Linked DNA regions of Xenopus tropicalis. Each later gene encodes a partner of the first gene's protein in a complex. Links are inferred from orthologs where the notes say so. Each region holds a gene or a part of one and is shown in the gene's direction. Other genes may lie near its edges.

What was found.
Region 2: tmem231 (region 1) and b9d2 share a complex: the UniProt entries of both Homo sapiens proteins name them as parts of the tectonic-like complex. The link is inferred for Xenopus tropicalis from reciprocal best matches to the Homo sapiens genes TMEM231 and B9D2.
Region 3: tmem231 (region 1) and tctn1 share a complex: the UniProt entries of both Homo sapiens proteins name them as parts of the tectonic-like complex. The link is inferred for Xenopus tropicalis from reciprocal best matches to the Homo sapiens genes TMEM231 and TCTN1.
Region 4: tmem231 (region 1) and tmem216 share a complex: the UniProt entries of both Homo sapiens proteins name them as parts of the tectonic-like complex. The link is inferred for Xenopus tropicalis from reciprocal best matches to the Homo sapiens genes TMEM231 and TMEM216.
Region 5: tmem231 (region 1) and cep290 share a complex: the UniProt entries of both Homo sapiens proteins name them as parts of the tectonic-like complex. The link is inferred for Xenopus tropicalis from reciprocal best matches to the Homo sapiens genes TMEM231 and CEP290.
Region 6: tmem231 (region 1) and tmem67 share a complex: the UniProt entries of both Homo sapiens proteins name them as parts of the tectonic-like complex. The link is inferred for Xenopus tropicalis from reciprocal best matches to the Homo sapiens genes TMEM231 and TMEM67.
Region 7: tmem231 (region 1) and tmem107 share a complex: the UniProt entries of both Homo sapiens proteins name them as parts of the tectonic-like complex. The link is inferred for Xenopus tropicalis from reciprocal best matches to the Homo sapiens genes TMEM231 and TMEM107.

Annotation. Positions count from the first base shown.
Region 1 is NC_030680.2:64,239,725-64,244,603, reverse strand, and holds the start of tmem231 (transmembrane protein 231), read left to right. Parts: upstream 1-1,931; 5' UTR 1,932-2,390; coding exon 2,391-2,529; intron 2,530-2,613; coding exon 2,614-2,780; intron 2,781-4,879. UniProt on the Homo sapiens protein: Transmembrane component of the tectonic-like complex, a complex localized at the transition zone of primary cilia and acting as a barrier that prevents diffusion of transmembrane proteins between the cilia and plasma membranes.
Region 2 is NC_030684.2:79,325,316-79,330,120, reverse strand, and holds the start of b9d2 (B9 domain-containing protein 2), read left to right. Parts: upstream 1-1,665; 5' UTR 1,666-1,736; coding exon 1,737-1,782; intron 1,783-2,551; coding exon 2,552-2,641; intron 2,642-3,361; coding exon 3,362-3,487; intron 3,488-3,663; coding exon 3,664-3,980; 3' UTR 3,981-4,805. UniProt on the Homo sapiens protein: Component of the tectonic-like complex, a complex localized at the transition zone of primary cilia and acting as a barrier that prevents diffusion of transmembrane proteins between the cilia and plasma membranes.
Region 3 is NC_030677.2:162,894,896-162,899,108, forward strand, and holds part of tctn1 (tectonic-1 precursor), read left to right. Parts: intron 1-272; coding exon 273-360; intron 361-708; coding exon 709-815; intron 816-3,272; coding exon 3,273-3,293; intron 3,294-4,213. UniProt on the Homo sapiens protein: Component of the tectonic-like complex, a complex localized at the transition zone of primary cilia and acting as a barrier that prevents diffusion of transmembrane proteins between the cilia and plasma membranes.
Region 4 is NC_030678.2:178,905,646-178,910,487, forward strand, and holds the start of tmem216 (transmembrane protein 216), read left to right. Parts: upstream 1-1,568; 5' UTR 1,569-1,644; coding exon 1,645-1,657; intron 1,658-3,146; coding exon 3,147-3,163; intron 3,164-4,429; coding exon 4,430-4,523; intron 4,524-4,744; coding exon 4,745-4,837; intron 4,838-4,842. UniProt on the Homo sapiens protein: Part of the tectonic-like complex which is required for tissue-specific ciliogenesis and may regulate ciliary membrane composition.
Region 5 is NC_030679.2:54,339,803-54,344,015, reverse strand, and holds part of cep290 (centrosomal protein of 290 kDa), read left to right. Parts: intron 1-677; coding exon 678-785; intron 786-1,637; coding exon 1,638-1,837; intron 1,838-2,496; coding exon 2,497-2,710; intron 2,711-4,213. UniProt on the Homo sapiens protein: Involved in early and late steps in cilia formation. Its association with CCP110 is required for inhibition of primary cilia formation by CCP110.
Region 6 is NC_030682.2:127,750,064-127,754,276, forward strand, and holds part of tmem67 (meckelin), read left to right. Parts: intron 1-436; coding exon 437-593; intron 594-1,242; coding exon 1,243-1,366; intron 1,367-1,959; coding exon 1,960-2,065; intron 2,066-2,734; coding exon 2,735-2,791; intron 2,792-2,869; coding exon 2,870-2,968; intron 2,969-3,720; coding exon 3,721-3,819; intron 3,820-4,213. UniProt on the Homo sapiens protein: Required for ciliary structure and function. Part of the tectonic-like complex which is required for tissue-specific ciliogenesis and may regulate ciliary membrane composition.
Region 7 is NC_030679.2:144,521,557-144,525,769, reverse strand, and holds part of tmem107 (transmembrane protein 107), read left to right. Parts: intron 1-3,450; 5' UTR 3,451-3,458; coding exon 3,459-3,545; intron 3,546-3,888; coding exon 3,889-3,956; intron 3,957-4,213. UniProt on the Homo sapiens protein: Plays a role in cilia formation and embryonic patterning. Requires for normal Sonic hedgehog (Shh) signaling in the neural tube and acts in combination with GLI2 and GLI3 to pattern ventral and intermediate neuronal cell types.

The DNA of each region.
Region 1 (4,879 bases):
AGCCTGTTTTGGTTTATGCATAATTTTCTATAATTAACTCTATGTACAATAAACTGCCTTGTGTTTATGCCAAAATATTCCTTACCTAATAATTTTGCCTCAGCCCAATTTAGTGCTGTTACTATATAAACTAGTTTTCTTTAGGTTTTTTTCCATGGCAATTCTGTTCACTTTTAAGGTGAACAAAACTGTGGTTCGAGAACACTATAACTTATATTAATGTTTAAAAACATTAATTTTGGAGTAGAAAGGAGTAAAAAAAATAACATTCAGGCAATTGTACATTTTTTTACATTTGTGTGTCTTTTGTATAAAAAGCAGGGATCCTCAAACTACGGCCCGCAGCCCGGATCTGGACCCCCCAAGGTAATTTACCCTGCTGCCAGGGGTGAGGATGCAGCGGAGGAGCAGGGACCAGGAGGACACAGTGGGGAGCGGGGGAGCTGGGAGAGAGAGGACAGAGCAGGGAGTTGGGGGAGCAGGGAGTGGGAGGACGCAGGAGCGGACCATAGTTTGACCCCGCAACAGGGAGCGAGGAGCAGGCAGCAAGAGTGGGCTGTAGTTTGAGGACACGGGGGAAGGTGGGGCTAGTTTGAGGACTATAGTCTGGCCCCCCAACAGTCTGAGAGACCAAACTGGCCCCCTGTCTAAAAAGTTTGAGGACCCCTGCTGTAAAGTGTAAAAAAATATATATATATTTTCACCCCTTTGGCCTACCTAGCCATAAAAGTTTTACTGTAACACAGTTGTAGGATGTGGCTATATATTATATGACAACATTCGAACATAGATTTTTTTCAGCAGCTGCCATGTTTTTTCCCACAAATCATCACTTTTGTTTCCACAATTCCAATATCCTTGGGGCCACCAGAAATCGCTGCAGAATGTTGCAGTTACAGGCACAAAAGGTTTTCTGGCATGGTTGGATTACATGCAAGTGCTTTCTTTACAGCATTTTAATACATGCAACTTAAGGTGCCCATACACGTTAAGACCCATTCACTTGGCGAGGTTGCCAAGCGAGCGGATCTTTTCCCGATTACCCCATCTACGGGTGGGCGATATCGGGCGAATTTAGGCTAATTCGGTCGTTTGGCTCTGGGGCGAAAAGATCGAATGACGGTAATGGGCGCAGTCAGTTCGGGGACTGCATCAATTCCGACTAAATTTTTAACCTGCCCGACCAATATCTGGGAGATTTCAGGCTAAAGGTGGCCATACACGCACTGATATTATCGTACGAAACCTTGTTTCGTCCGATAATCGGTGCATGTATGGCATGTCGGCGAGTCGACCGATGTCGACCGCTGATATTGGACGACTCGCCGATCGGACCAGTTTGAAAATTTTGATCGGGCGCCATAGAAGGCGCCTGACCAAAATTCTCCTTTCAGAGCTGAATCGGCAGAAGGAGGTAGAAATCCTATTGTTTCTACCTCCTTACCTGCCGATTCAGCCCTGAATGGTGTGTGGCGGATCTTACGATGTTTCGTGCGACCGATGGTCGTACGAAACATCATCAGATCGCCACGTGTATGGCCACCTTTAATGTCGGTCGGGCTAGCCCGTCGTTGGTGCCCCTACACTTGCCGATAAGCTGCTGAATGGTCAAAGGGAGCTAAAATCGGCATGTGTATGGCCACCTTTACACATGATTACCAGATCACCTGATAACCGGGTGCATTTTCTAATAAATGCATGTTGCAGGATTGCTCTTCAAAGTGCCAGCCACCAGGTAGCCTTAACTCATAAGATGTTTGAAAACAAATATCTGATAGTTACTGAAGACATTCTGTCATTTATTACATTCTCCCTGCTTGGATCTCATATATAGGTTTAACAATTGAGTTTGCTGCCAGTTTAAACGGAAATCGTGATATCCAATAAAGGAACAATTATCACACACAATACGTAGACACTTTTCCATATCACGAAAGAGCTACCAGTCACTTCCGGTGTCTCCGAAATGCTTCCGGGCGCTGGCGTCTGTTGCCATAGCTACATTGCTTATGGAGACAGAAGCCTTGGTGGGCGCGAATGTTCCTTCAGTTCTAGTGCGGTTCTGCCTTAGTATTAGAAAGGGAAGGCGGGAGTCTGTCCGGGAGTTTGTGTCTCTGGTTGCTGCTGGTGGGTGCGCTGAAACAGGAGAGTTTAGCTGGGCATTATAGAAAGACCAAAATGCACATACAGAATCAGCCATAGTTCTTTCTGCTCGGCAGCTCTTGTTTATATCTATCGCTGAACGGGACATGAGAAGACGAAAATACCTGTTGCATCGGAGAACTACAGAAACTTACAGAAGTGTAAAGGGAACACAAATTTTATTTTAAAGCGGCATAACGTTTGTGAGCTTATTTTTCACTTTAGTGAGTTCTTAGCAAGCCCAAGCCATGGCTCTGTATGAAGTTTACTCTCACCCAGCACTCCTTAGATACAGATCCAGCATCTGTTCCAAAGCCACGCTGTTTTTACTTATAGTCCTGTTACTCACCTACATCCCTCCCTTACTGGTTGCATTTCGCAGCTATGGTAAGACTTTGATTTCTTGCAGAAACATTTCCATGCAGGCACTGTACTTTATATTTCTTTTAATTTCACCATATGTCTTTACAGGGTTCTGGTTAAAAACAAGTACCTATGAAGAACAGCCCAATGTCCGCTTCCAATACGATGTCTTGTTAATTGCTTTGAGTAGCACCACTGGAAATTATCTGGCTTGGAGCACATATCCGGGATTTAATAACTTAGTAGGAGACAAACTTAGATTGCCCCATATATCCGTAAGTCTTATTCTCTGATCACAGGGGGCAGTTCATTTCCAAACATTTTTTTTCAGTTTAGTTGTTTTTAAATAGTATGCCAGAAATATAATTTTTTTAAATTACCTGGTGTTTTACATTTGCTACACTAAATGATACATTTCTCAACAGAATCAGAGAAATGGCAGCAACTACAGTATTAATTATTTTTGGTGTACTATTTAAAAGTACCAAGCTGATACTATTTAAAAGTACCAAGCTGATATAAAAAAGGTTTGTTTTTCACCTACTGCACTGTTAGTAGCTGTTCAAGGAGAACAATTATGAATAGTAGATTTACGTTTGTTATGATGAACCCTGATTGATTTACTATGGGATTTTTAGAAACGTATTTATCAAATGAACTCACCCATTGATAAAAGAGAAAATCAATTTATACTTATCAAGATTTTCTTTTCCTGGCCATCCCTCTTCGTAGCGTAACATTTAGGGAAAAACCCAAATGTTATGCTGCCAGATGATGTTCAGGAAATATGTCTCTATATGTCCCACAGGTCACTGATAAAAGAGATAATAAATTCATACTTACCAAGATTTTCTTTTCCTGCCCATCCCTCCTGGCAGCAAAACATTTAGGGAAAACCCCAGTCAGTAGTGTGCTCTAATGTCACACATTAATAAATCTGCTGCTACAGGTTCTATTTAGAATTATCTACCTTGAACACGAGGTTTCCCTTCTTTCTAAAAATAATGACTGGACACTAAACAATTTGTCATATTTTGGGTCTGATTATAAAAACCCCAGTTATTTATTAACTTTAGCTTTGGTGCCAGAAACAGTAGCTCGCCAAAGGAATGCCTAATTGGTATTCAGTTCACTTGCATGCTGCAGACTTCAATGGTTTCTGCACATGCATGTGGAATACATTGCATTGGCTGTGCAGTACAGATATGGGATCCCCTTATCCAGAAAGTTCAAAATTATGTAAAGGTCACCTCCCATAGACTCCATTATAAGCAAATAATTCTAATTTTTAAAAATGATTTCCTTTTTCTCTGTAATTAAGCCTTATTGGAGGTAAAACAATCCTATTGGGTTTATTCAATATTTAAAGGATTTTTAGCAGACTTAAGTTATGGAGATCCAAACTATGGAAAGATCCGGAAAACCCCAGGTCCCGAGCATTTTGGATAATAGGTCCCTTACCTGTATATACATCATGCATTAATAAGTATTGAGCCCAGCAATGTGGGTGTTTTTATAGGTGATTACCACTAAATTGACAAGTAGATACCCATAAACAGTTGGCAGTAAATTTGTCTGTCTGATTTAACTTGGAATACTAATTGTCCAAGTTAAAAAAAAAACAACATTTGGTCCAAAATTAGATTTAATTAACATATAAAACATTATGTACATCTGCATAGCACCTATATTTATCCACACACCCTAAGACCCTCAGCAGCACAAGGACCAATGTGAATCTGTAATGCTTCAGGCTTTAGGGAAAGGAAAATCAATATCAGAAAGATTTAAAACTTTGTGGGACTATCCAGATGCATGATAATCTTTTTTGTAATATTTTCTGTTCCTATGTACTGATATGGTAAGTGTCATGGATGATGTGCATAATAATGATGTCACATTATTGCATAAATGCACTTCTGACATATGTTTTTATAGCATTCGTATAGGCACCTTTGTACAGTTTCAGCTTCTATTCCTTATATATAAAAGGCCCTTGTTTATGTTGTTGGTTTGATAATCAATTATTAACTAGCTACAATGGCTCATTCCTTAGTGGTGTCTCATGCATCATTACGTTGTGCTTACATATTACATAGAACATCTGATATGGGAGGGATTGTGCTTCATGTTTCTGTAAGGCCAACTGCATTCTACAGTTGCAACCATCCTTTTCCCAGTAAAAGGAAAAAAAAAAAAGAAATCACCTTTAATGAATACTTGAGTAAACAGAATATTTCAATTTTTTTCTTTAAGTTTTTTTTTTAACATATTTATCAATGTATGAAAGTTAGAGTTCACTGTTTCATACATATGTTTCTCATAAAACAAAATTTGAGTTTAGGATTTGTTGTTCTGTAATTTTAGTTAAGCA
Region 2 (4,805 bases), on another chromosome or scaffold:
GGCCCAAGGACTGACCCCTGCGGTACTCCACTAACCACACTGGTCCAATTAGAAAATGTTCCATTTACAACCACTCTTTGTACTCTATCCTTCAGCCAGTTCTCTATCCAATTACAAATATTATGTTCTAGGCCAATATTCCTTAATTTGATCATTAACCTTCTGTGAGGTACTGTATCAAACGCTTTAGCAAAGTCCAAGTAGATGACATCAACTGCCATTCCAGCATCGAGGTTCCCACTCACCTCCTCATAAAAGGCGACTAAATTAGTCTGGCAAGATCTGTTACGCATAAAACCATGCTGGCACAAACTAATAGTATTGTGAACTGCAATGTATTCAAGTACCCTATCTTTCTTTTGGTCTCTATCTGTACCTGTCAGTAACAGTGCACTCTCTCAAAAGAATGCTCTTTTACAAGGAAATGGGCAGAGACAAATGGAGAGATCTGATAAGAAATGCATACTGAGCATGCAGAATAAATCACTCAATGAGAAAGGGGTAAAATGGGGCAAACAGTTATCTTGTGAAGCAACAGACAGGATCTTTTAAAGACACTAAAATAACAGCATATGTTCCGCAAAAATTGGCTCATTACCAGCTTGTCTTGCAGTAAAGCAGCTTTAGCAATCTTTTATAACAAAAATACTAATGTATTTCTTGCATGAATTGGATCAACGACACCTTTTCAGATAGGGATATCCTAAATAAATTCTTCTGCGTTCATGTATCCAAGTATCTCCCTACTTCTTTTAAAATGTAATTAAATATTTTGGCCACTATGTCTGTCATAAAAGTGAATGCGTTTCGTCTGACGCTGCCATTCAAAGTTTCCAGCATTTTAAAAGCTGGGTTCTTTTTGGTTTAAAGGCTTTACATTTGGGGGTGTGACTACAAAGTGGGAGCAGACAAACGCATTTTCAGCATGGCCATGCTAATTCTCATTACACCCCCCTCAGCCACTAACTTGCTGAACTTTAAATGGACGCTAATATGTCTCTTGTATACGTAATGCCTCAGAACCCGACACGACACGACGCCCTATATCTGTTTAAGCAACGTTCCATTACACTATGTTGTATTATAAATCACAGATTGCAGTATTAATAGCTATCGTTTAATCCCAATACTTCGTCTCCCACAGACTATCAGTCTCGATCAGTTTACACATTTCGCCTACAACAGACGTCACTTCCGCCGGTGAACCAATCAGATCTGCTGTATGCAACGGTTGCACAGCAACAGGCGGAGTCTACCAAAGTGAGAATTAGAAGGGGCAAAAAGCTAAGACAAGGAGCCGGTTTTCAGAGGGGGTCCGGTGAGATTTATGTTGCAGTTGTGCGGTTAGGGGAAGCATTTATAGCGGGATGTAAAAGAGGGCGAAAAATATTTAGAGCTAATAAACTGGTAAAGCGCTTACATCTTACCCTACTGCGGTGTTATATACGCAAAGGTAGATATGATTCGCAGGTTGTCGGTATGGAGTCCTGATGATTTTGCACCATCATCCAAATATGTATCGTCAGTAATTTATATGCTCATAGCACACACAATGGCGCCAGTGTAGGGAGTGTAATGGGGGTATTACGTTTTCCAGCAGCTGATAGTTGACAAACAGAGGCTCTTGGCTGATTCTGTAAGTGTAAGCTGTAGGGCCCTCAGTTTAGGGATTCTATTTGTTGATTCTATAGTGCCTTCACTGTCAGTGTTCTATGTAGTTATGAAATTCACTGTACATGAATAGCCACACTCATGAATTACATTACAGCCCAACTTGTGCAGGTATAAGTAGGTTTTTTTTGCTTGATGTTGGTCATTGACCTGGTTAGTTACATATGTAATACACTATGCGGTAATGACAAATAAAATTATGCTTTCAAATTGGTTTTATTGGATGTGTAATGAACAGTTTGGTTATGACATGCCACGTCTTACAGGGCTTATTGCTGGGGGTTAGCTACATATACTAATAATATACGTAGTAATAACACTGCGCTAAAAGTAGGTAATAAATAAAATGTATATGTAATACTAATGTTCCTTCTAAGCTATGCATTTGTGGATATTTAAATTACGATGTCAGGGCACATGCATTAGAACCGCCCTTTTACATTATTGAGGCCACTAGAAAATAATGGGGGATGTCATATCCTTGAAATGTATTAATCATTATATTTTGGAGGGACCACAAAATAAAAAAACCTAAGTAAGGGATGAAAAATAAAGTTTTACTGTAATAAATTGTGGTGCGCAAAAAGAATTTTGTATGTAAAGGCATAATTTAGAATTTTTTTAGACTTGCGCATAGTTTTTATAAAAGTGCTCAAATAGGTTTAGGAAGTAGGCACAAAAGAAAGTTTTTGCACACACAGCCAAGAAAAAAAGGAAAACTTGGTCACTGAGGCTTGTATATTTATATTGGCGTCAGATGGTATAAGAAGTGTAATTTCTAGCTGTTATTGTTTGTTGGACCTACTTCTAATAAAAATTATAATTTAGTTTCTTCACAATAATGATGTAACTGAAATATATTTTACCTTTCCTCCTACAGTAATGGCAGAGGTTCACATCATAGGGCAAATTATTGGGGCTAGTGGCTTCCCCCAACACAGCCTGTTTTGCAAATGGGGAGTACACACAGGTAAGAGTCATCATTTTGCATTTTAAATGGATCTATATATCAATTGTACATAAAAAAAACACAGTTTTGTTTTTTTGTGGAGCTGTACGCTGTTGAAAATGTGGTATATGCATTCAGTTGGCCCCACTTTTATTCTAGTACAGGTATGGGATTCCTTATACGGAAACCCGTTATCCAGAAAGTTCTGAATTATGGAATGCCCGTCTCCCATAGACTCCATTTTAATCAAATAATTCAGAATTTTAAAACAGATTTCCTTTTTCGCTGTAGTAATAAAACAATACCTTGTAATTGATCCCAACTAAGATATAAATAATCCTTATTGGATGCAAAACAATCCCATAGGGTTTAATTAATGTTTTATTGATTCTTTAGTAGATTTAAGCTATGGAGATCCAAATTACCCTTGGTCCCGAGCATTCTGAATAATGGGTCCTATACCTGTAATATATTTTTAAGTTTGTGATGTGAAGAAGAAATATATGCGTCAGGTGACCCCTGTATTTATTCTAGTAATGTGAAGTGAAGGAGAAGGCTGTGTTTGTATAACTTAAAGCCCATTTTTGGCTTTACTTTACATAAACAATATAAAAGAGTCTTAAAGGAAATGTTAATGTTTTGAGAAAATCTTGATATATAAGATACTGGTGTGGCTCTATCTATTATTAACCATATGATATTTCTATTTGTAATAACATCGTTCCCTACCATAACATTTAGGTGGAGCCTGGAAGCTACTTTCTGGGGTTGTGGAAGGCCAGACACAAGTAGATCATCCACAAAATGATGACATGGCATTCTGGTCTCACCCTATTGACATGCACTTTGCTACTAAAGGATTACAAGGTAAAGTATGATAGAATAAAGAATAAAATAAAGAATCTGTTAAAATTATTGTAATCACATTGGAGCCCCTGCACAGGCTCCCAACCCTAACCCTACCCATTCAAATGAACACACTTTACCTACCAAAGGTGCAAAGTACATTATGTACTTTAAATGCTTGTATTTCCCCCACTTAGGTTGGCCAAAACTTCACCTTCAAGTCTGGCATCAGGACACATTTGGTCGTAATGAACTTTATGGTTACAGCTTCCTCCACATCCCTTCCACCCCTGGTACTCACTCATTGCTTAGCCCAACCTGGCGACCCCTGGGAACATGGCAGGAGCAAATATGTCAGATGTTTGTTGGCGGCGGCCCACAACTTAAGTCATCCAGCCTGATTTATGGAGGGTCTGATCGCTACCGTCTGCAAACAGTGGCCATGGGGCAAGTACATCTCCAATTAACGGTCATACTCAGGAACTTTGAACGATACGGGGTGGAGTGTTCTTGATTTTGCAGAGTGCTAAGAACTTGTTCCTGGTTTTCCAAATGATTATTTTTGGTGCCAAGGACATATGCACTGAAATAATCAGCAAGACATTTTATGGAATTACTTGTGAACACCTCAAACAGAATCCTGCTCAGTATTTAATGAGCCCCTTTTCTCAACCCTTCTTAATAAACCTGATACTTCATATCTCTTCTGTACCATAATCTGGTAACATTTATCCTCCTCCCCTTCTACTAACATCTCTTACACTTTCCCAAATTGTCTGTTACTTCTGATATTAGCCATTTTCCTCATTGTATCACTTTTTTACTATCCTTGCTTTGTTTTCAGCCCTGTTATAAAGCACACTCCCTTTCTCTCCTTTCATTTTCATAATACCTCATTCACATCAATCACTTACCAGAATACATTTATATATAAAGTAAATTGAATGTTTTTGTTTTTAAATACTTTTCAGGCTCTTTTGACGATTATCTTAAATCAGTTATAATGTGAATGTGATTCCAATGTCTCTGCTGTCAGCTGTGCTATATAAACCATGCACAGAAAATTGCCCTGTTTGACATAGGTTAGTTATCTGAGAAATTGTAAAATGTGCCTGCTCTTACTAAATGGTTTTTACTGCAAATATGTTTTTTAGATAAAACTATATTTTAAGAAAAAGAAATGGTAAGCGAGTATTCTTTGCTGTAGGAAATAATGTTGCAATTTGTAAGCCACAAGAAGGCTCTGTAGGTAACTAGAATTATGCTATTATTTAAATATTACAATTAACGGGGAGAACCCATTTAATAAGGATTTAAAAAAATATATATGCTAAAAGTT
Region 3 (4,213 bases), on another chromosome or scaffold:
TTTTGAATTCCCTACCAAAGTCCATGATACCATGTGGCCTACATGCTGGTTGTTTTCTGATCCATCGTCAATGTCATTAGGCTTGTATTATTGTTCTCACCATGATGTTGGTTTTCTTTCCATTGCCAGCAGGGTTAGTTTATGATGGTGAATTAGTCCCTGTCAGTGATATATTATATTTGATGTATTGCTACTGTATTGAACTGTTTTTGTATTTTGTATACATAGTTTTATTGTAATTGTTTATTTAGATATTTGTCCCTTTTTAACAGTATGGGTCTCCTCTCTTAACTGCCAGTGCGTACCTATCCCTTCCTGCTCCACTTGGTACTAAAGAATGTACAGATCGTAACCCTGTGGGTAAGAATCCTTACTGTCTGCGGAGAGTGTATTAGATAGCCTGTTTCCTCATAACCTGTTATTTCATCTATACTTTGGTCAAAAAGCTGCTTGATTTTAAATGTATAACTTACAGCACTGTGTACATAAGTTGCACTATATACATTCATACATACCAGGCATAAATGCATGCAACCATCAGCAACTGCCAATGATCAGTTAAAGTTTCCCAAGGTATTCCTACAGTAAATCTGTTCTGGTCCTGAATGGACAGGTTTCATTAACATAGGTCTTCAGATTGCAGTTGCTAAACTACAATAATTTTCTAGCTTATATTTACATGACCTTTATCTGTTTGTTTCTTTATAGGTTTCCTAGTAAGCCAGGATTCTACGTGTACTTGGAACGTATCACTAAACAATTGTTCAGTGCCTGCATTGACTCTTGCCACTTACACAGATGTGAGGATTATAGCTGTAAGTACTGGCTGCAGGCATTCTGGCTATCCTGCCCATTAGAATTATAGCTGTAAGTACTGGCTGCAGGCATTCTGGCTATCCTGCCCATTAGAATTATAGCTGTAACTACTGGTTGCAGGTATTCTGGCTATCCTGCCCATTAGAATTATAGCTGTAAGTACTGGCTGCAGGCATTCTGGCTATCCTGCCCATTAGAATTATAGCTGTAAGTACTGGCTGCAGGCATTCTGGCTATCCTGCCCATTAGAATTATAGCTGTAAGTACTGGCTGCAGGCATTCTGGCTATCCTGCCCATTAGAATTATAGCTGTAAGTACTGGCTGCAGGCATTCTGGCTATCCTGCCCATTAGAATTATAGCTGTAAGTACTGGCTGCAGGCATTCTGGCTATCCTGCCCATTAGAATTATAGCTGTAAGTGCTGGCTGCAGGCATTCTGGCTATCCTGCCCATTAGAAATATAGTTGTAACTACTGGTTGCAGGCATTCTGGCTATCCTGCCCATTAGAATTATAGCTGTAAGTACTGGCTGCAGGCATTCTGGCTATCCTGCCCATTAGAATTATAGCTGTAAGTACTGGCTGCAGGCATTCTGGCTATCCTGCCCATTAGAATTATAGCTGTAAGTTCTGGGTGCAGGCATTCTGGTTATCCTGCCCATTAGAATTATAGCTGTAAGTTCTGGGTGCAGGCATTCTGGCTATCCTGCCCATTAGAATTATAGCTGTAAGTACTGGCTGCAGGCATTCTGGCTATCCTGCCCATTAGAATTATAGCTGTAAGTACTGGGTGCAGGCATTCTGGCTATCCTGCCCATTAGAATTATAGTTGTAACTACTGGTTGCAGGCATTCTGGCTATCCTGCCCATTAGAATTATAGCTGTAAGTACTGGCTGCAGGCATTCTGGCTATCCTGCCCATTAGAATTATAGCTGTAAGTACTGGCTGCAGGCATTCTGGCTATCCTGCCCATTAGAATTATAGTTGTAACTACTGGTTGCAGGCATTCTGGCTATCCTGCCCATTAGAATTATAGCTGTAAGTACTGGCTGCAGGCATTCTGGCTATCCTGCCCATTAGAATTATAGCTGTAAGTACTGGCTGCAGGCATTCTGGCTATCCTGCCCATTAGAATTATAGCTGTAAGTACTGGCTGCAGGCATTCTGGCTATCCTGCCCATTAGAATTATAGCTGTAAGTACTGGCTGCAGGCATTCTGGCTATCCTGCCCATTAGAATTATAGCTGTAAGTACTGGCTGCAGGCATTCTGGCTATCCTGCCCATTAGAATTATAGTTGTAACTACTGGTTGCAGGCATTCTGGCTATCCTGCCCATTAGAATTATAGCTGTAAGTACTGGCTGCAGGCATTCTGGCTATCCTGCCCATTAGAATTATAGCTGTAAGTACTGGCTGCAGGCATTCTGGCTATCCTGCCCATTAGAATTATAGCTGTAAGTACTGGCTGCAGGCATTCTGGCTATCCTGCCCATTAGAATTATAGCTGTAAGTACTGGCTGCAGGCATTCTGGCTATCCTGCCCATTAGAATTATAGCTGTAAGTACTGGCTGCAGGCATTCTGGCTATCCTGCCCATTAGAATTATAGCTGTAAGTACTGGCTGCAGGCATTCTGGCTATCATGCCCATTAGAATTATAGCTGTAAGTACTGGCTGCAGGCATTCTGGCTATCCTGCCCATTAGAATTATAGCTGTAAGTACTGGCTGCAGGCATTCTGGCTATCGTGCCCATTAGAATTATAGCTGTAAGTACTGGCTGCAGGCATTCTGGCTATCCTGCCCATTAGAATTCTGGCTGTAAGTACTGGCTGCAGGCATTCTGGCTATCCTGCCCATTAGAATTATAGCTGTAAGTACTGGCTGCAGGCATTCTGGCTATCCTGCCCATTAGAATTATAGCTGTAAGTACTGGCTGCAGGCATTCTGGCTATCCTGCCCATTAGAATTCTGGCTGTAAGTACTGGCTGCAGGCATTCTGGCTATCCTGCCCATTAGAATTATAGCTGTAAGTACTGGCTGCAGGCATTCTGGCTATCCTGCCCATTAGAATTATAGCTGTAAGTAAGGGCTGCAGGCATTCTGGCTATCCTGCCCATTAGAATTATAGCTGTAAGTACTGGCTGCAGGCATTCTGGCTATCCTGGCCATTAGAATTATAGCTGTAAGTACTGGATGCAGGCATTCTGGCTATCCTGGCCATTAGAATTATAGCTGTAAGTACTGGATGCAGGCATTCTGGCTATCCTGCTTGTTAGGACTCTGTCTCTATCTGGTAAAGTCTAAAATGTCTTAATCTTAGCTTCTTAATTTAATGTTATAAGAGCCACAGTTGTGCTCCATGCTTTCATTATATCTCAGGGTGGAATTTTTATATTACCTCTTGAAGGTTTAAAAATACTACATTTAAATATTTTGTTTTGTTTTTTTTGTGCAGACACCAAATTCTGGAAACCAGGTGAGACAATTATTGTTTTAAATTTAATTATTTAGTATAAATGAAAGGGACATGTATAGCTTCTAATAACCCATGTTAGTTGTTAAAAGTTGTGTCTCCATACAGAGGAGAAGGTTACCCAGGCTTTTATACACTAGGGATGCACCGAATCCAGGATTCGGCCAAGATTCTGCCTTTTTCAGCTGGATTCAGCCAAACCAAATCGTTAAAATCATGTGAATTTTTGCCACATAAACACAGAAGTTGAACATTTTTCACCATGAGTGAAGTGTGCGGTTTTCAGATCCTGGGAACAGCGTGGTTCACCCAGATCCTAAAATACATCATTTTAATTTACATAAATTTCTTTCCTGGATGTTTTTACCTTTCATGCCGTACCTTGCATATACATAATGCGGTATTGTACACTAACTGGTGATTTCTACTGCTGCTGTGTTGTTTGGAATCAAGGGATACATATAGCAGAGTGCATATTTTTTTGACATAATATGCTGAATTGAGTCTAGTCTGCATGCTTTGCTCTCACATTAGTTGTTTAATACATTGATCTTGGATATCAGACATGCCATACCTTAGAGCAGAGAGAAGAGCAAATAGGCACTCCACAGGAGCAGACCAATCGCGCCCTCATGATTTAAACCCACCTTTAGTGGGTTGAGGGGGAGCTGCATTGTTAGTACAGAGTGCAGTTGCATTCTCTTTATAAAGATGAACTAAAGGAGTTGAATTTCTAAAAAATGGAAGTTCATTCTCATAACAGGGGTGCCATTTCTCACCTTGCCTGATTGCTAAACAGCGCTGCTCACCCTAACTGGCCTTCAAGCTGGGCGCCCAGCCACTGCTCTAGGTTGCCTAGAGGTGCTATCTCCACAATATGGCAACTACTGACAAATCCAAAAAAAACATTGTTTTTATGTTTG
Region 4 (4,842 bases), on another chromosome or scaffold:
GATCAGGGTGGGGATCAGGGTGGGGATCAGGGTGGGATCAGGGTGGGGATCAGGGTGGGATCAGGGTGGGGATCAGGGTGGGGATCAGGGTGGGGATCAGGGTGGGATCAGGGTGGGGATCAAGGTGGGGATCAAGGTGGGAAAAGGGTGGGATCAAGGTGGGGATCAGGGTGGGGATTAAGAAGGAAACAGGGTGGGAAAAGGGTGGGGATCAGGGTGGGAAAAGGGTGGGATCAGGGTGGGGATCAAGGTGGGGATCAAGAAGGAAACAGGGTGGGAAAAGGGTGGGGATCAGGGTGGGGATCAGGGTGGGGATCAAGAAGGAAACAGGGTGGGAAAAGGGTGGGGATCAGGGTGGGAAAAGGGTGGGATCAGGGTGGGGATCAAGGTGGGGATCAAGAAGGAAACAGGGTGGGAAAAGGGTGGGGATCAGGGTGGGAAAAGGGTGGGGATCAGGGTGGGAAAAGGGTGGGGATCAGGGTGGAAAAAGGGTGGGATCAGGGTGGGATCAAGGTGGGGATCAAGGTGGGGATCAAGAAGGAAACAGGGTGGGAAAAGGGTGGGGATCAGGGTGGGAAAATGGTGGGATCAGGGTGGAAAAAGGGTGGGATCAGGGTGGGATCAAGGTGGGGATCAGGGTGGGAAAAGGGTGGGATCAGGGTGAGGATCAAGGTGGGGATCAAGAAGGAAACAGGGTGGGAAAAGGGTGGGGATCAGGGTGGGAAAATGGTGGGATCAGGGTGGGAAAAGGGTGGGGATCAGGGTGGGGATCAAGGTGGGGATCAAGAAGGAAACAGGGTGGGAAAAGGGTGGGGATCACGGTGGGGATCAGTGACCTGTAACTCCGCCCATGTGTTACTAAAAGTAAATATAAAGGGGAAGTTGACCCTTTATTGGGCTATGGGTTCTATAATGAAGTAACTGTGAGTAACATAATTAGGTGAGTAGCAGTGAGACGAGGAAACCGTGGGTGGGAACATCCGGCTCTTGAAGCGAGGGTCTCGCATCTCAGCCCCAATTAATAACGACTGCGCATCACTACTGAGAGACAGCAGCATCGGCCCCCAACTCTCCCACCCTCGCTCCTCTACTGCCCCCCGTGCAGTCATTAGTGCTCATACTGCCTCTTGTGTTTGGAATAACCTCTTCAGTGTTATAAAGGGTTGTCTCCATCTTGCCCTACTGTCTCCATCTTGCCCTACTGTCTCCATCTTGCCCTACTGTCTCCATCTTGCCCTACTGTCCCCATCTTGCCCTACTGTCTCCATCTTGCCCTACTGTCCCCATCTTGCCCTACTGTCCCCATCTTGCCCTACTGTCCCCATCTTGCCCTACTGTCTCCATCTTGCCCTACTGTCCCCATCTTGCCCTACTGTCCCCATCTTGCCCTACTGTCCCCATCTTGCCCTACTGTCTCCATCTTGCCCTACTGTCTCCCTGGGCAGAGGAGCTAGCAATCTAATTTGGCTGCAGGTACACTCTCCATTGAACAGTTCCCAGAAGCCCAGCCAGTCCCAGTTATTTAGTGGCCCTGAATGTTAGGGGGGAAGGCGCTAGGACCCCGCGGCGCACAGGCGGCTCAGGGGGTCACGTGTTGCGGAGGTTTCCAGGGAGTGACGTCACAGGCGTCCTTAGAGCAGCAAGATGGCGCCCAAAGGTAAGCGGGAGGCGAAGCAGCGGATGGAAGAGCGGCCCCCCTGCTCCCTGTAATGGCGCCTGTAAGCGTGGGGCTACTGTGTCCCCTATGCAAGAGGTGCAGCTGATCAGCGGGACTACAACTCCCAGCATCCCCTGCACCCGATGCCGCTACGCTGTCCCCTTACCTGCTGCATAGGGACCCGCACCGCTAGTGTGCAACTACAACTGGGGGGGGGGGGGGGGGGCTGTTAGACCACAATTCCCGGCATCCCCAGAGAAGCAGCGACTTCTCCCTGTTACCCACAATAGCGCACATTCCCCGGGCAGGTGGGTATATTATGGGCAGGTGGGTATATTATGGGCAGGTAAGTGGGTATATTATGGGCAGGTGGGTATATTATGGGCAGGTGGGTATATTACGGGCAGGCGGGTGGGTATATTACGGGCAGGTATGTGGGTATATTACGGGCAGGCGGGTGGGTATATTACGGGCAGGCGGGTGGGTATATTACGGGCAGGCGGGTGGGAATATTACGGGCAGGCGGGTGGGTATATTACGGGCAGGTATGTGGGTATATTACGGCAGGCGGGTGGGTATATTACGGGCAGGCGGGTGGGTATATTACGGGCAGGCGGGTTGGTATATTACGGGCAGGTATGTGGGTATATTACGGGCAGGCGGGTGGGTATATTACGGGCAGGCGGGTGGGTATATTACGGGCAGGTATGTGGGTATATTACGGGCAGGCAGGTGGGTATATTACGGGCAGGCGGGTGGGTATATTACGGGCAGGCGGGTGGGTATATTACGGGCAGGTATGTGGGTATATTACGGGCAGGCGGGTTGGGGTATATTACGGGCAGGCGGGTGGGTATATTACGGGCAGGCGGGTGGGTAATATTACGGGCAGGGGGTGGGAATATTACGGGCAGCGGTGGGTATATTACGGGCAGGCGGGTGGGTATATTGAGGGCAGGCGGGTGGGTATATTACGGGCAGGCGGGTGGGTATATTACGGGCAGGCGGGTGGGTATATTACGGGCAGGTATGTGGGTATATTATGGGCAGGCGGGTGGGTATATTACGGGCAGGCGGGTGGGAATATTACGGGCAGGCGGGTGGGTATATTATGGGCAGGCGGGTGGGTATATTACGGGCAGGCGGGTGGGAATATTACGGGCAGGCGGGTGGGTATATTATGGGCAGGCAGGTGGGTATATTACGGGCAGGTGGGTATATTACGGGCAGGCAGGTGGGTATATTACGGGCAGGCGGGTGGGAATATTACGGGCAGGCGGGTGGGTATATTACGGGCAGGCGGGTGGATATATTACGGGCAGGCGGGTGGGTATATTACGGGCAGGTATGTGGGTATATTATGGGCACCTACAGGGGGAGACCAAACATGGCTGCTCTGAGTGCTGGGAGGGGCCCCCGGCCCCCACTGGGTCTTCTGCTTGGTATCATGTGACTTGTGCTGCCCCCTAACTGTGCGTTTGCTTCCCAGGGAGAAGGCGCGGAGTTGTATCCTTGGCACTTACATAGGTGAGACGGTACCAAGTCACCTGTACAGGTATAGCCTGGCCCCGCCCACTGCTTCTTATATTCCTTTAACAATTCATGGGGGTACATTACCCCTTATAATACATGAGTGATACTCAGAGTTCCCTGTATAACTCAGCCTGCAGCCTTGTGCCTTTATATGGGGGGCACAGAACCCCTCAGTGACTGCTAATATCCTTATCATTTACAGTAGGGGGTACATTATCCCTTATAATACATGAGTGATACTCAGAGTTCCCTGTATAACTCAGCCTGCAGCCTTGTGCCTTTATATGGGGGGCACAGAACCCCTCAGTGACTGCTAATATCCTTATCATTTACAGTAGGGGGTACATTATCCCTTATAATACATGAGTGATACTCAGAGTTCCCTGTATAACTCAGCCTGCAGCCTTGTGCCTTTATATGGGCACAGAACCCCTCAGTGACTGCTAATATCCTTATCATTTACAGTAGGGGGTACATTATCCCTTATAATACATGAGTGATACTCAGAGTTCCCTGTATAACTCAGCCTGCAGCCTTGTGCCTTTATATGGGGGGCACAGAACCCCTCAGTGACTGCTAATATCCTTATCATTTACAGTAGGGGGTACATTATCCCTTATAATACATGAGTGATACTCAGAGTTCCCTGTATAACTCAGCCTGCAGCCTTGTGCCTTTATATGGGGGGCACAGAACCCCTCAGTGACTGCTAATATCCTTATCATTTACAGTAGGGGGTACATTATCCCTTATAATACATGAGTGATACTCAGAGTTCCCTGTATAACTCAGCCTGCAGCCTTGTGCCTTTATATGGGGGGCACAGAACCCCTCAGTGACTGCTAATATCCTTATCATTTACAGTAGGGGGTACAGTATCCCTATAATACATGAGTGATACTCAGAGTTCCCTGTATAACTCAGCCTGCAGCCTTGTGCCTTTATATGGGGGGCACAGAACCCCTCAGTGACTGCTAATATCCTTATCATTTACAGTAGGGGGTACAGTATCCCTTATAATACATGAGTGATACTCAGAGTTCCCTGTATAACTCAGCCTGCAGCCTTGTGCCTTTATATGGGGGGCACAGAACCCCTCAGTGACTGCTAATATCCTTATCATTTACAGTAGGGGGTACAGTATCCCTATAATACATGAGTGATACTCAGAGTGGGATTACATTACTCGGTACATTGTAGCATGAGTCGCATTATACAGTTTTTCCTGAACACAAGCAGCTCTCTTCCACGCCGCTGGAGGTTCTCTTCTTCCTCAATGGCTGGTACTGTGCTTCCTACTTCATCATCGAGACTCTCATTTTTATCTATAAAGGTGAGTTCCTATTGGCTGTGCATGTACCCCAGGGAGGCAGGAACCGCGGGGGGCAACATTGGGGGGACCAAGCTCAGTGTTATTGGCACAAATGGTCCTGCCCAGGGGTGTATGGCTTCTGTCGCACTGAGGGGAGGGGCAGGGAGTCTGTGACTCAAGTAGTGGGTGGGGCTAGAAGGGATTAGCGCAGGGAATGATGGGAGACTTTTGCATTCCCACAGGGCTGATCCTGCCGTACCCCACATCTAATCTGATCCTCGAGTCATTCCTGCTCTTTCTCTATCTGGGCATTGAGGTCTCTAGATTGTTTCTGGGTGAG
Region 5 (4,213 bases), on another chromosome or scaffold:
AAATGAAAATATGTATGTATATAGCACTACTGTACATTTTTATATGATCTTATATTATTATTAATATTAACATATTATGAACCTTAATTCGTAGAAATTTTTTTACTTTAAGCATTGTAAATTTTGTACTGTTTACTGTACATTATACATTTATACTGTTTTGAAAGCTAGTACGGCATGTGGTCATCTCAAACAAATGTGAAGTCAGGTACCTTACTTTGGATTAGGACGGAGAGTTACTCCCACACTTGTTTTGACTTTGGGTCCAATGAAGATTTTACAGAGAAACACATTTCTTTAAATCCTGTGCACCCCTCTGTAAAATAAATAAATACAAATCTAAATAGACAGAAATGTATAACTTTTTATGTAGTCCTTGCGTCAAACAACTGGATCAGCATGATTTAACTCATTTTTTCAACATTGTTAAACAAGCAGATCTATTAGGGTATGTCCAGCTTTAGGCTTTTTAGCAAGTCTTGACTAGAGTAGACTCACCTACTTCAGCATTCAGTGTTAAATGTATACTGAGGTCCAGCAGTAAAGGCAGTAGCAATACTTCTCTCATACTTTCAGAGCTTCATCATGTCCTGCTCAGTATTATGGTAGTATATTAGTTTAATAAAATGTTCTATTTATATAATATTAGAATATTTTTTTTTAAATTTTTACATTAGGAGCAAGAAGAAGTTACAAAGAAGCATGCAGAAGACCTTAAAGAATTGCATCATAAACTGAATTTCTATTCAGATACTTCCATTAACAATTTTAAAGAAGCTGCTAAAGTAAGTATTTTAATGTTTTTTTTTTCAAAAAGAGACAGTGTATTTTTCCTTTTTTTTAGTCTTGTACTTATCTTAACAGAATTCAGATTTAAAAGTTTTCAAATGTTCTGTTATAATGTAAAATATAAGCAATGGCACTTATTATATATATTTTCAATTCTGTTTAACATTAGGATGTCATATATCTATAATTGCAACACACAGATAAAAGTTTATATCTATCAAAAATAAAAAAAATAGTAAAATGCATTATTACTTTTAAATCTTGATGAAATTTGGTTGCAATAAAGTGATCATATATCCTGATATAATACACAAGAGTCATGAATATCCTGTAAATTGTATCTTTATAATTGGAGCTTATAAATGAGCTTAGTGATGTAATTTCCGTCACATGACTCACTGAAAATTGTGTATTATAATAAATAATGTACCCCCTGTTGTAAAATATGAGGTTAACCGGCCTTCGCTTTGTGATTTTATAAGGTCATGACACTCCTCTGTGACTTATAATATCACATAATAATATACGATAGAGGGTACATTATTTAATATATATATATATATATATTTATATTTAAAGATCAAAACTAAGTTAATTCACTGAAATTTTAATCTTTTCAGAGTTTGATTTTGGTTAATGGTTAGATAGATGTTTTATTTTAATATTCTCTGCAGTGGTAAACAGTGGTAATCACTATGACTCTCTATGTTTTCTCTAGAAGTATTGGATTCTTTTGACTTGTATTATGTATAAAGTATTAACTATTAACAGTAAAGTCAGCCGACCCAACCTCTTTAAGGCCATTAAGACCCCATAACCTTCATACCTTCTGCTGTTGTACATTGTAGGAGTTCATGAAAAAACCTTCACTCCAAATTCCATCAAGTGCAAATTTAATTCGTTTGGCTGAAATGGAACAGACAGTTGCTGAACAAGAAAACTCACTGGCTTCCCTGTCCAACCAGCTGAGGAAAGCAACATCGGAGCTGGAGAAGCAGAAACAGATCACGATAGCAAAAGTCAATGAATTTGAAAACAGCAAAACCAGGTCTATATCGTATTAATTCTGTAAATTTTTTAGAAAATATACAGCAGTCCTTTCAGCAAATGTGGTGTGAGCAGTCAGTGCAGGTTTGACCTTACTTTTATCACTTATCAATACAATATATGTTTTATTAATATTTGTTTTGTTTGACGTGTAACAAACTAGATTTAAAGGGATCAATTTTGTGTAAACTAGATTCTAAACATAGAATAGACCTACAGCTTGTGGCCTTACGACTTTATTGTTCTACAGAAAATGAGCCTTGAATTTTTTTTTTTAGGCTACAAGAAAATACTGTAGCAGTCAGCCTTTTCTGCTTTTCTGCAGATATCTGCGGTCTCAAGTAGTTTTAAAGAATTCCATCAAAACCTTTTTTTACATTTTTTTCAAGATTAAGCCTTTAAAATGATTTTTTATTAGTGAATTGTGCTTTTGCATAACCAGAGCTACTGTGGTTAATAAATACAGATACTAAATAAATGTAGCTACTAGAGACAGAGAAACATTATACATAATTATGAAGTTTTTGAACCTGTTTCTCATGTTGGTTACGTAGCCGGTGAAAAAGGTTACTTGAAATTTGTTACTTGAAATCGGTGATAAGTTGCTTAACTTATGTTATATTGTTCTATCAATATATCTATTTTATGTATAAATAACAGGCTTGAAGAGAAGCACATTGTGGAGATTAAAAAACTGAAGAACGATGCTGAAGATTTAAGAGCTCGTATTGCTGAAACAGAGAAAGAAATTAATTATCTTAACACTGAACTGGAGGCTCAAAAAGAGGCGAATACCCGAGCTCCAACATCAACTATGAAGAATCTTGTGGAACGTCTGAAAAACCAAGTAGCACTTAAGGAAAAACAGCAACAGGTATATTGTAAATCTATGGATTTTTTTTAAAGACTATTAATAAGATAATAGATTAATAGATGATGTATGTACTGTAAACATTATTGGAGAGGAATATTGGTCTGGAACTGTCTTTCATGGTTGGGGCTAGAGCCCTTGGTTCCGTTGGAAACCTTCATTAAGGCTACAGCACACAATAGCATTAATAAGCATTCCATGACCCCAGTCCACAAACTAGGTGGGTACAGTTTGGGTTTGCCTAGTTGGGAGTGGATGAACATGGCTGGCCAGAACAGAACACTGACCCCAACCCAACTGCAAGCTAGACCTGAGACCACAATATCAGCATCCAACCTTACTATGTCCTTGTGGCTAAACTGCAACAAATCATACCAACAGGGTTCCAATATCTAATAAAAAGCTTTCTCAGAAAGGTTGAGGTTGTTCGAGCAGCATGAGCAGACCAACTTACATTTAGTCATAAAGTGTGCCACCAGTCACCAGACCTGCATACGAACAAATTTAGAATGTGTTTGGGCTGATTTATAAGGTTCATTAGTGATAACTTCAAATACAGCCTGTTGTTAACTAGTCATGAAGTTTGCAACTTAACATAAACACTTAAGAAGGCATTATCCTGGAGTTTGGGCCCTCTCCACTGGCCGTGCCCCTCAAATTATCTGTTGTATCAGACATGGTACTTATTATGCAGGAGTATCTGTAACTTGTCTAAGGTACATTTCTATATTAATCAGCTGAAGTTTAACTTAATTAATTTCCTATTAATGAGACTGGGGATTAGATTCTTGCCAATAACTGGGAGCTCTTTGTAGTTCATGCATGAACTTAATTTCAAAAGAGAAACATATCACATTAAAAATCATTTGGTAGTTGGCTTTTAGCCTTTGTTTCGGGAATATTCACAAGTGTGTTCTAACTCAGCACACTTCAATGGGGTTTATACGCTGAGGAACAGTTAAAAAGTATAAATATTTAGTCCTTTAATAATTAAAAGTCACGATAAACTTTCATTTTGTTGTTTTTGAGAATTACAAAGCAAAGGTCAGTTCTTGTGGTTTTGCCTGCTGCTACTTGACACAGGCCAAAAAAAAAAAAAAAATCCACTAATCATTGCCACCTGCCTACTGTTCAAGAGCACAAGAAGTATTAATTGTTTTCAAGTAGTTTGTGGAAAGTCTTATGTTACTCTGATTGGGTAGGTATACACCAGCACCTCTTTGCCCTGTATTGTTTGCACAACCATCCTTTGTATTCTACCTGTGCAGAGAATCATATGTTCTGTATCTGGTGGATAATGGGTCAGGAATAAAAACTGTACCTCTTACCTATATATTGGGCAATAAATGCACCAAGCTACTATTGGAAACATACCTTATGTTTGCCCCCTGCTAGTGAACAGTAGAAAAAGAGCAAAGTAGAAAGTAGTCGCTGGTTTAATTTGTATTTTATTCTAATTTTATTTTTCATTTTGATCTTTAGCTTGGTTAATCTAGGTATTAAAAT
Region 6 (4,213 bases), on another chromosome or scaffold:
GCAAATATATAACTTCATTAAGTTAAACGAGATTAGTCGCTGCCGCTAGAGGAGATTTATCCTCGTCTGTCATTGGCCTTAGTTGGCTTATGTTGAAAAAAAGTGTATTTAGGCATAGTGCCCCTTTAAGCAGTTTTATGTCCTGTTTGTTTAGTGAGATGTTTCTAATTAGGATCCAGCTGAAAGTAAAGAATAAGGAGCTGCCACTTTACCAATGTATCTTCTTTTGGAATGTACTGTAGCAATGGCTTTCAGTGGAAACCAGTTTGGACACCTAATCCTTATTTATACTTGCATGTACAGTACATTGCAACTGGGCAGTATGTGTATTTATGTGTGTGTGTTCCTGTGTGCCCACAAAGAGATACATAACTACACATACACACACAGTATATTTTGCTACCCGTGTTCACTTGGTCATATCATTCCTTTGCAGTGTAGAATTAGTGTTTCTAAGCTCCTGCGTGACCACCCCGAGCCTGTGTTCTATGATGTGTATCTGGCCTACCCAGGGAATGAGAAGCAGCAGAATCTCCTTCCTGTGCCAGTCCTGAACCTGAACCTCCAGTACCATGAAATGTTTGTTAACCAAGGTACATTCTATGGACATTTATATGATTGATGTATGTGATTATACATAAACCAGTTCAATTAGATGGGATCCCTTTAAAGGGATTTTGTCATGATTTTTATGGTGTACTTCTTATTTCTAATTACACTGTTTAAACTGCACATTTTAAAATATGTGTTGTATTTTTTAACCAGTATCAAAATTACATAATATGTAATTTAACAAGGTATAATTTTTTGATCCAAAATTAGCGGCTTACTGTCCCATGGGATGGTGTTGCTTAAAGCCAATGCAGTCCTGATGGTACTGCAGGATGTCTGTGATGCACCAGTGTTATAGACACAAAGATAGCCTAGCAGTCCACATTATACTAGCTTACAGCCAGTTATAGTGTTGATTTGACAACCCTTGGCAAACATTTTTATCACCAATATTACTGTTGTGTCAACCTTGCACTTTGTTTATTTGAATGTGTCTCATATTTTTACAAAAGGCTGGTGTTTTGCCACTTCTCTTTCGGTAGTAGGCAGATAAACAGCACTAGGAATTCCAAACAGTGACACTCTTGGGGGGGGTAGTGGAACTTTTAGTTCAGCTAGGGCTTCAGGTTGGGGCACTATTGGCGTAGAATTTTACTTCCCCTTCACTAAACATAATTTGTCTTGTTACAGGAGACAACATCAACAACTGGCTCTTGACTCGCCGAATCTTCCTGGTGGATACTATTAGTGGGCGAGAAAATTCTCTGGCCGATCCTCCAAGGCTCATTAGAGTGGCTAGCAAAATCACAATCAGGTAGAGTGTAAATTTTAGCACAATAGCACAAATTTTAGCACAAGTTTGTCATGTTATTGCGCATTACATTTTTATAAGCTTGAAGATAGTACAAGAGAGAGTATAAAAAAAAGTATTAGTATCATGGTTAATTTATTTGAATTATTGTTATTATGCTTTATTTGTAGAATGCTTACAAGTTTATGCAGGGCTTTACAGAGACTGCTTACTTATTGCAGAGCCAATTAATTAGCCTACTAACATTCAGACTCTTTTGGATAGTGCTTAGTTCAGAATCAAGATCAGGACACCAGTGTTGGAAGTACATTATTGAATCAAGCACTCTAAAGGTAATTTACTACTGGTACAGCACTAGTGCTTGAGCACTTATTGAACGTCATAGAGCTTCATAAATGAAGCACTTGGGCAAAATGCCTTGTGCCAGGCCGAGCAGGTGCAAGTAGGGGGTGTGGATGCCCATGGACGACCCTTGTGCACCTCTGTTTTAAATAGCAGGCGAAAGATGTACCTAGGAGCATAAGGTTTGCTGTCAGATGCAACTCTTTGCACTCTATTTGGGAGCAAAACACTGACTATATGTTCATTTTTTACAGCATTAGACTTGTACCAGACACTTACAAGGGAATAATTTACCCACCTCTCATGACTGTGCAATACACAGATGTACAGCTGCAAAATCCAGAGTCCCAAATTGTCAAGGTAAGATTGTGCATCAGGTAGAGATCAAAAGCACACAAGGCTGCTAACAAGTAGATGTTTTGATCAATTCCTTTTCCCACTATTCCTTTCCTTTTTGGCAATTCCCTTATAAGCTGAGTTGTCAGTCTTCTTCCCAATGAACCTCTTCTAATGAACAAGCTCTCCTGCTGTTCTGGCTTATATAGCAACTGAAATAATGTGTGTAAACGTGGCCATACACAAGACTGAGTTCGCAGTTTATGGCCATATAGGGGGCCTGGTTATGAAAATTGGAAGTGACTCTGCCACCACTTTGCCTTTAAAGCAACAGCACCACTGACTGCTTTCAATCTTGTGTAACCCAGTGCCATATGGGCGACATCCTTTCTCCAACAAAACAGCCTTAAGGTAGCCATGCACAGGCCAACCCCATACAGTATATTAAAGTTAGATCTCCCCCCCCCTTCCCACTTCCTACTAGAATATGTCAGCTTACAGTCCTGCACCTGATTTATTATTAGTACTTAGTTAAGGTGATGAAGTTTTATAACTAGAAAGATGATGTCTACATAGATAAACTCTGCTTAAATGAACCTACCAAAGGATTTTTTTCTTGGAAATCAATGGTGTGGTTATCTCTTGTATCATAGTGCTACTTTTCATGATGTTCTTTATTGTTTCCGGTTATAGGTTTCCTTTTCAGTAAATTATGAAATGAGACAGTTGGACTCGTTGAAAAAAACTGATGTAAGTCTTCCTTGTTTATATTACCTATTGTTCTATGTATCATCGTGGTGTTGATTAACCCCTCTCTTGGTATGTTAGGTGGCGATAGGGGTGCTAGGAGGCCTGGCTGTACTTTGGTCTCTTCTGAAAACTGCAGCTTGGAAGAGAAGAATTGGGAGCTCATTTATTGACATGCAGGTGAGTGATACATTTTCTTTTGCTGAGTTAATAAATCATCTTCCTCCCATATGCAGGGTCTGGGTAACCTTCAGTCATCATCTGGTGTTATTGGTGTGCTTTGTGGAAAGCATGTATCACCCTGTATGAGACCTTATTCCTCATATCTATCCTTATGTACATTAAATATGGATCTTTATCCACTTACCCAGAATTCTATTTAAATTATCTGATTGGTGCACACATCAGGGGTGGTCTTGTTGGTAGGGGTAATCCAATTACTATATCTCAGTTTGGAGGGAGGTCTTGAAGGACTAGAGTCTTCTTACACTACCGGGGTATCCTAAATATAACAGCCCTACAAAACTACCTTAGGCCCATATGTTAGTAGTGTTTAGGTTAGCGTGACCGGATCACTTGAAAATTTAGGGACGCTTTTAATAAATACATGTTGCAATAAACTGCAGTTCAGCCTAGCTAGCTGGATTTTTTAGACATGTCCCTGAATATTCAAGTGGTCTGGTCAACCTTGTTTAGGTGCATTGCTCAAGAAAGAACAGTATTCAGTATTCAAAAATGTTCCCCTGATTTTAATTATAATTTTATCGTACTGTAATCTCTTGCGAGTAGGCCCTCTGATCCTATTTTTAATTCTGTAATCCTTGTTTCTTAAATTATTATAAGACCCCTTGTTACAAATGAGTGTACAGGGCGCTGTATAAAAATGATAATAATGATGAAGTATTATTCATGCGGATTCATTTTAATTCCAGACCGTGATTCACTTTTTAATATTCTATGCTGGGGCCTTGGCAGATGTGTTTTTTCTCGTGACAGTTGGCACAGGGTTTTATTGGCTCATTTTGTTCAAAGTAAGTACTTTACTCTGCATTACAACACTTAGTTTTTATGAAGCAATTACATAATCATTTAGGTGTTCCTTTTAAATCCATGAAAAAGGTTCTGTAGCCATACCAAAGCCGTTGGAGATAGTTGTGCTTTAAAATCTGCTTGTGGAAGCATAGTGGACAGGAGGGGGGGTCATCAGATGATCCCAATCCTGGTGGCACCCTGGTGGAATTATGTCAATATGATTGTGTTCTGACTTGGGCAGTTATAAACCAGACTTTTATTTGGAGGGGTTAGAATTATAAGTCTGCCTCCTAATACATTCCTAATACATTATTATATGCATATAATCAATGTAACAGGCCACTTATTTGTACAGCACTAGTATTCTCTAATATAGTTTCTAATTTAGTATGG
Region 7 (4,213 bases), on another chromosome or scaffold:
TCCCTGGTAAGGCCTCACCTTGAGTATGCAGTGCAGTTTTGGGCTCCAGTCCTTAAGAAGGATATTAATGAGCTGGAGAGAGTGCAGAGACGTGCAACTAAACTGGTTAAGGGGATGGAAGATTTAAACTATGAGGTTAGACTGTCGAGGTTGGGGTTGTTTTCTCTGGAAAAGAGGCGCTTGCGAGGGGACATGATTACTCTGTACAAGTACATTAGAGGGGATTATAGGCAGTTGGGGGATGTTCTTTTTTCCCATAAAAACAATCAACGCACCAGAGGTCACCCCTTTAGATTAGAGGAACGGAGCTTCCATTTGAAGCAGCGTAGGTGGTTTTTCACGGTGAGGGCAGTGAGGTTATGGAATGCCCTTCCTAGTGATGTGGTAATGGCAGATTCTGTTAATGCCTTTAAGAGGGGCCTGGATGAGTTCTTGATCAATCAGAATATCCAAGGCTATTGTGATACTAATATCTACAGTTAGTACTAGTGGTTGTATTTATAGTTTATGTATGTGAGTATAGATTGGTAGGTGTGGGTTAGGTGTGCTGGGTTTACTTGGATGGGTTGAACTTGATGGACACAGGTCTTTTTTCAACCCTATGTAACTATGTAACTATGTAACTATATATTATATGAGAGGGTCCCTGGCCTGTATATACAGTAATAGGAGTCAGGGAAGCCTGTATATATTATATGAGAGGGTCCCTGGCCTGTATATACAGTAATAGGAGTCAGGGAAGCCTGGATATATTATATGAGAGGGTTACCGGCCTGTATATACAGTAATAGGAGTCAGGGAAGCCTGGATATATTATATGAGAGGGTCCCTGGCCTGTATATACAGTAATAGGAGTCAGGGAAGCCTGGATATATTATATGAGAGGGTTGCCGGCCTGTATATACAGTAATAGGAGTCAGGGAAGCCTGTATATATTATATGAGAGGGTTGCCGGCCTGTATATACAGTAATAGGAGTCAGGGAAGCCTGGATATATTATATGAGAAGGTCCCTGGCCTGTATATACAGTAATAGGAGTCAGGGAAGCCTGGATATATTATATGAGAGGGTCCCTGGCCTGTATATACAGTAATAGGAGTTAGGGAAGCCTGGATATATTATATGAGAGGGTTACCGGCCTGTATATACAGTAATAGGAGTCAGGGAAGCCTGGATATATTATATGAGAGGGTTGCCGGCCTGTATATACAGTAATAGGAGTCAGGGAAGCCTGGATATATTATATGAGAGGGTTACTGGCCTGTATATACAGTAATAGGAGTCAGGGAAGCCTGGATATATTATATGAGAGGGTTACCGGCCTGTATATACAGTAATAGGAGTCAGGGAAGCCTGGATATATTATATGAGAGGGTTACCGGCCTGTATATACAGTAATAGGAGTCAGGGAAGCCTGGATATATTATATGAGAGGGTTACCGGCCTGTATATACAGTAATAGGAGTCAGGGAAGCCTGTATATATTATATGAGAGGGTTACCGGCCTGTATATACAGTAATAGGAGTCAGGGAAGCCTGTATATATTATATGAGAGGGTTACCGGCCTGTATATACAGTAATAGGAGTCAGGGAAGCCTGTATATATTATATGAGAGGGTTGCCGGCCTGTATATACAGTAATAGGAGTCAGGGAAGCCTGTATATATTATATGAGAGGGTTACCGGCCTGTATATACAGTAATAGGAGTCAGGGAAGCCTGTATATATTATATGAGAGGGTTGCCGGCCTGTATATACAGTAATAGGAGTCAGGGAAGCCTGGATATATTATATGAGAGGGTTACTGGCCTGTATATACAGTAATAGGAGTCAGGGAAGCCTGTATATATTATATGAGAGGGTCCCTGGCCTGTATATACAGTAATAGGAGTCAGGGAAGCCTGTATATATTATATGAGAGGGTTGCCGGCCTGTATATACAGTAATAGGGGTCAGGGAAGCCTGTATATATTATATGAGAGGGTTGCCGGCATGTATATACAGTAATAGGAGTCAGGGAAGCCTGTATATATTATATGAGAGGGTTACCGGCCTGTATATACAGTAATAGGAGTCAGGGAAGCCTGTATATATTATATGAGAGGGTTGCCGGCCTGTATATACAGTAATAGGAGTCAGGGAAGCCTGTATATATTATATGAGAGGGTTACCCGCCTGTATATACAGTAATAGGAGTCAGGGAAGCCTGTATATATTATATGAGAGGGTTGCCGGCCTGTATATACTGTAATAGGAGTCAGGGAAGCCTGGATATATTATATGAGAGGGTTGCCGGCCTGTATATACAGTAATAGGAGTCAGGGAAGCCTGTATATATTATATGAGAGGGTTGCCGGCATGTATATACAGTAATAGGAGTCAGGGAAGCCTGGATATATTATATGAGAGGGTTACCGGCCTGTATATACAGTAATAGGAGTCAGGGAAGCCTGTATATATTATATGAGAGGGTTACCGGCCTGTATATACAGTAATAGGAGTCAGGGAAGCCTGTATATATTATATGAGAGGGTTGCCGGCCTGTATATACAGTAATAGGAGTCAGGGAAGCCTGGATATATTATATGAGAGGGTTACCGGCCTGTATATACAGTAATAGGAGTCAGGGAAGCCTGTATATATTATATGAGAGGGTCCCTGGCCTGTATATACAGTAATAGGAGTCAGGGAAGCCTGTATATATTATATGAGAGGGTTGCCGGCCTGTATATACAGTAATAGGGGTCAGGGAAGCCTGTATATATTATATGAGAGGGTCCCTGGCCTGTATATACAGCAATAGGAGTCAGGGAAGCCTGTATATATTACATGAGAGGGTTACCGGCCTGTATATACAGTAATAGGAGTCAGGGAAGCCTGTATATATTATATGAGAGGGTTGCCGGCCTGTATATACAGTAATAGGAGTCAGGGAAGCCTGTATATATTATATGAGAGGGTTACCCACCTGTATATACAGTAATAGGAGTCAGGGAAGCCTGTATATATTATATGAGAGGGTTGCCGGCCTGTATATACTGTAATAGGAGTCAGGGAAGCCACGTACCGGTGGGCCCCTTCCCTCACGTACCGGTGGGCCCCTTCCCTCACGTACCGGTGGGCTCCTTCCCTCACTTACCGGTGGGCCCCTTCCCTCACGTACCGGTGGGCCCCTTCCCTCACGTACCGGTGGGCTCCTTCCCTCACGTACCGGTGGGCCCCTTCCCTCACGTACCGGTGGGCCCCTTCCCTCACGTACCGGTGGGCTCCTTCCCTCACGTACCTGTGGGCCCCTTCCCTCACGTACCGGTGGGCTCCTTCCCTCACGTACCGGTGGGCCCCTTCCCTCACGTACCGGTGGGCCCCTTCCCTCACGTACCGGTGGGCCCCTTCCCTCACGTACCGGTGGGCCCCTTCCCATTTTTTCTCTTTTATTTTCCCTTCTGCAGGTTTTATCATGTCCGCCATCAGCAGCCTGGTGCCCTCTCGCTTCCTCACACTCACGGCTCATCTGGTCATCGTCATCATCATCTTCTGGTCAAGGGTAAGCAGCACCCAAGCTGGGGTTTGGCCAATGTAATGAACACCTCAGTGCCCTTTAAAGGGGTAGTTCACCTTAAAACTAACTTTAAATATGACATGGAGCCTGATATTCTGAGACAATTTGCAATTGGTCTTCACTTTTTTTTTATTTCCTGTGGTTTTTGAATGGTTTAGGTTTTTGTTCAGCAGACTTTCAGCATGTATCTGTTGCTAGGGTACAGATTACCCTAGGAACCAGGCAGTGGTTTGAATGAGAGACTGGAATGCTGCTGCCAGGCCCCACTCATCACCAATCTGTCCCTGCTAGCATGGAAACTGATAATATCTCAATTTTGTCTTATTAGGATAATAATGTCCTTGCCTGCTTACCCATCGACTTCACACCGCAACAGTATTCATCCCGGGATACAGAGTAAGTCCCAGCCTGCCCTACATGGAAAGTCGCCTTACTGTCATGATTTTTATGGGGGGGGATATCACTCCAACTTGCAGCGCAGCAGTAAAGTGTGCCTGAGTCTGAGCTTTCAGCCAGCGCTACACATTAGAACTGCTTTCAGCTAACCTATTGTTTCTCCTACTCCCATGTAACTGGAGGAGTCCCAAGCCGGACTTGGATTTCTTACTATTGAGTGCTATTCTGATACCTACTGGGAGCTGCTATCTTGCTCC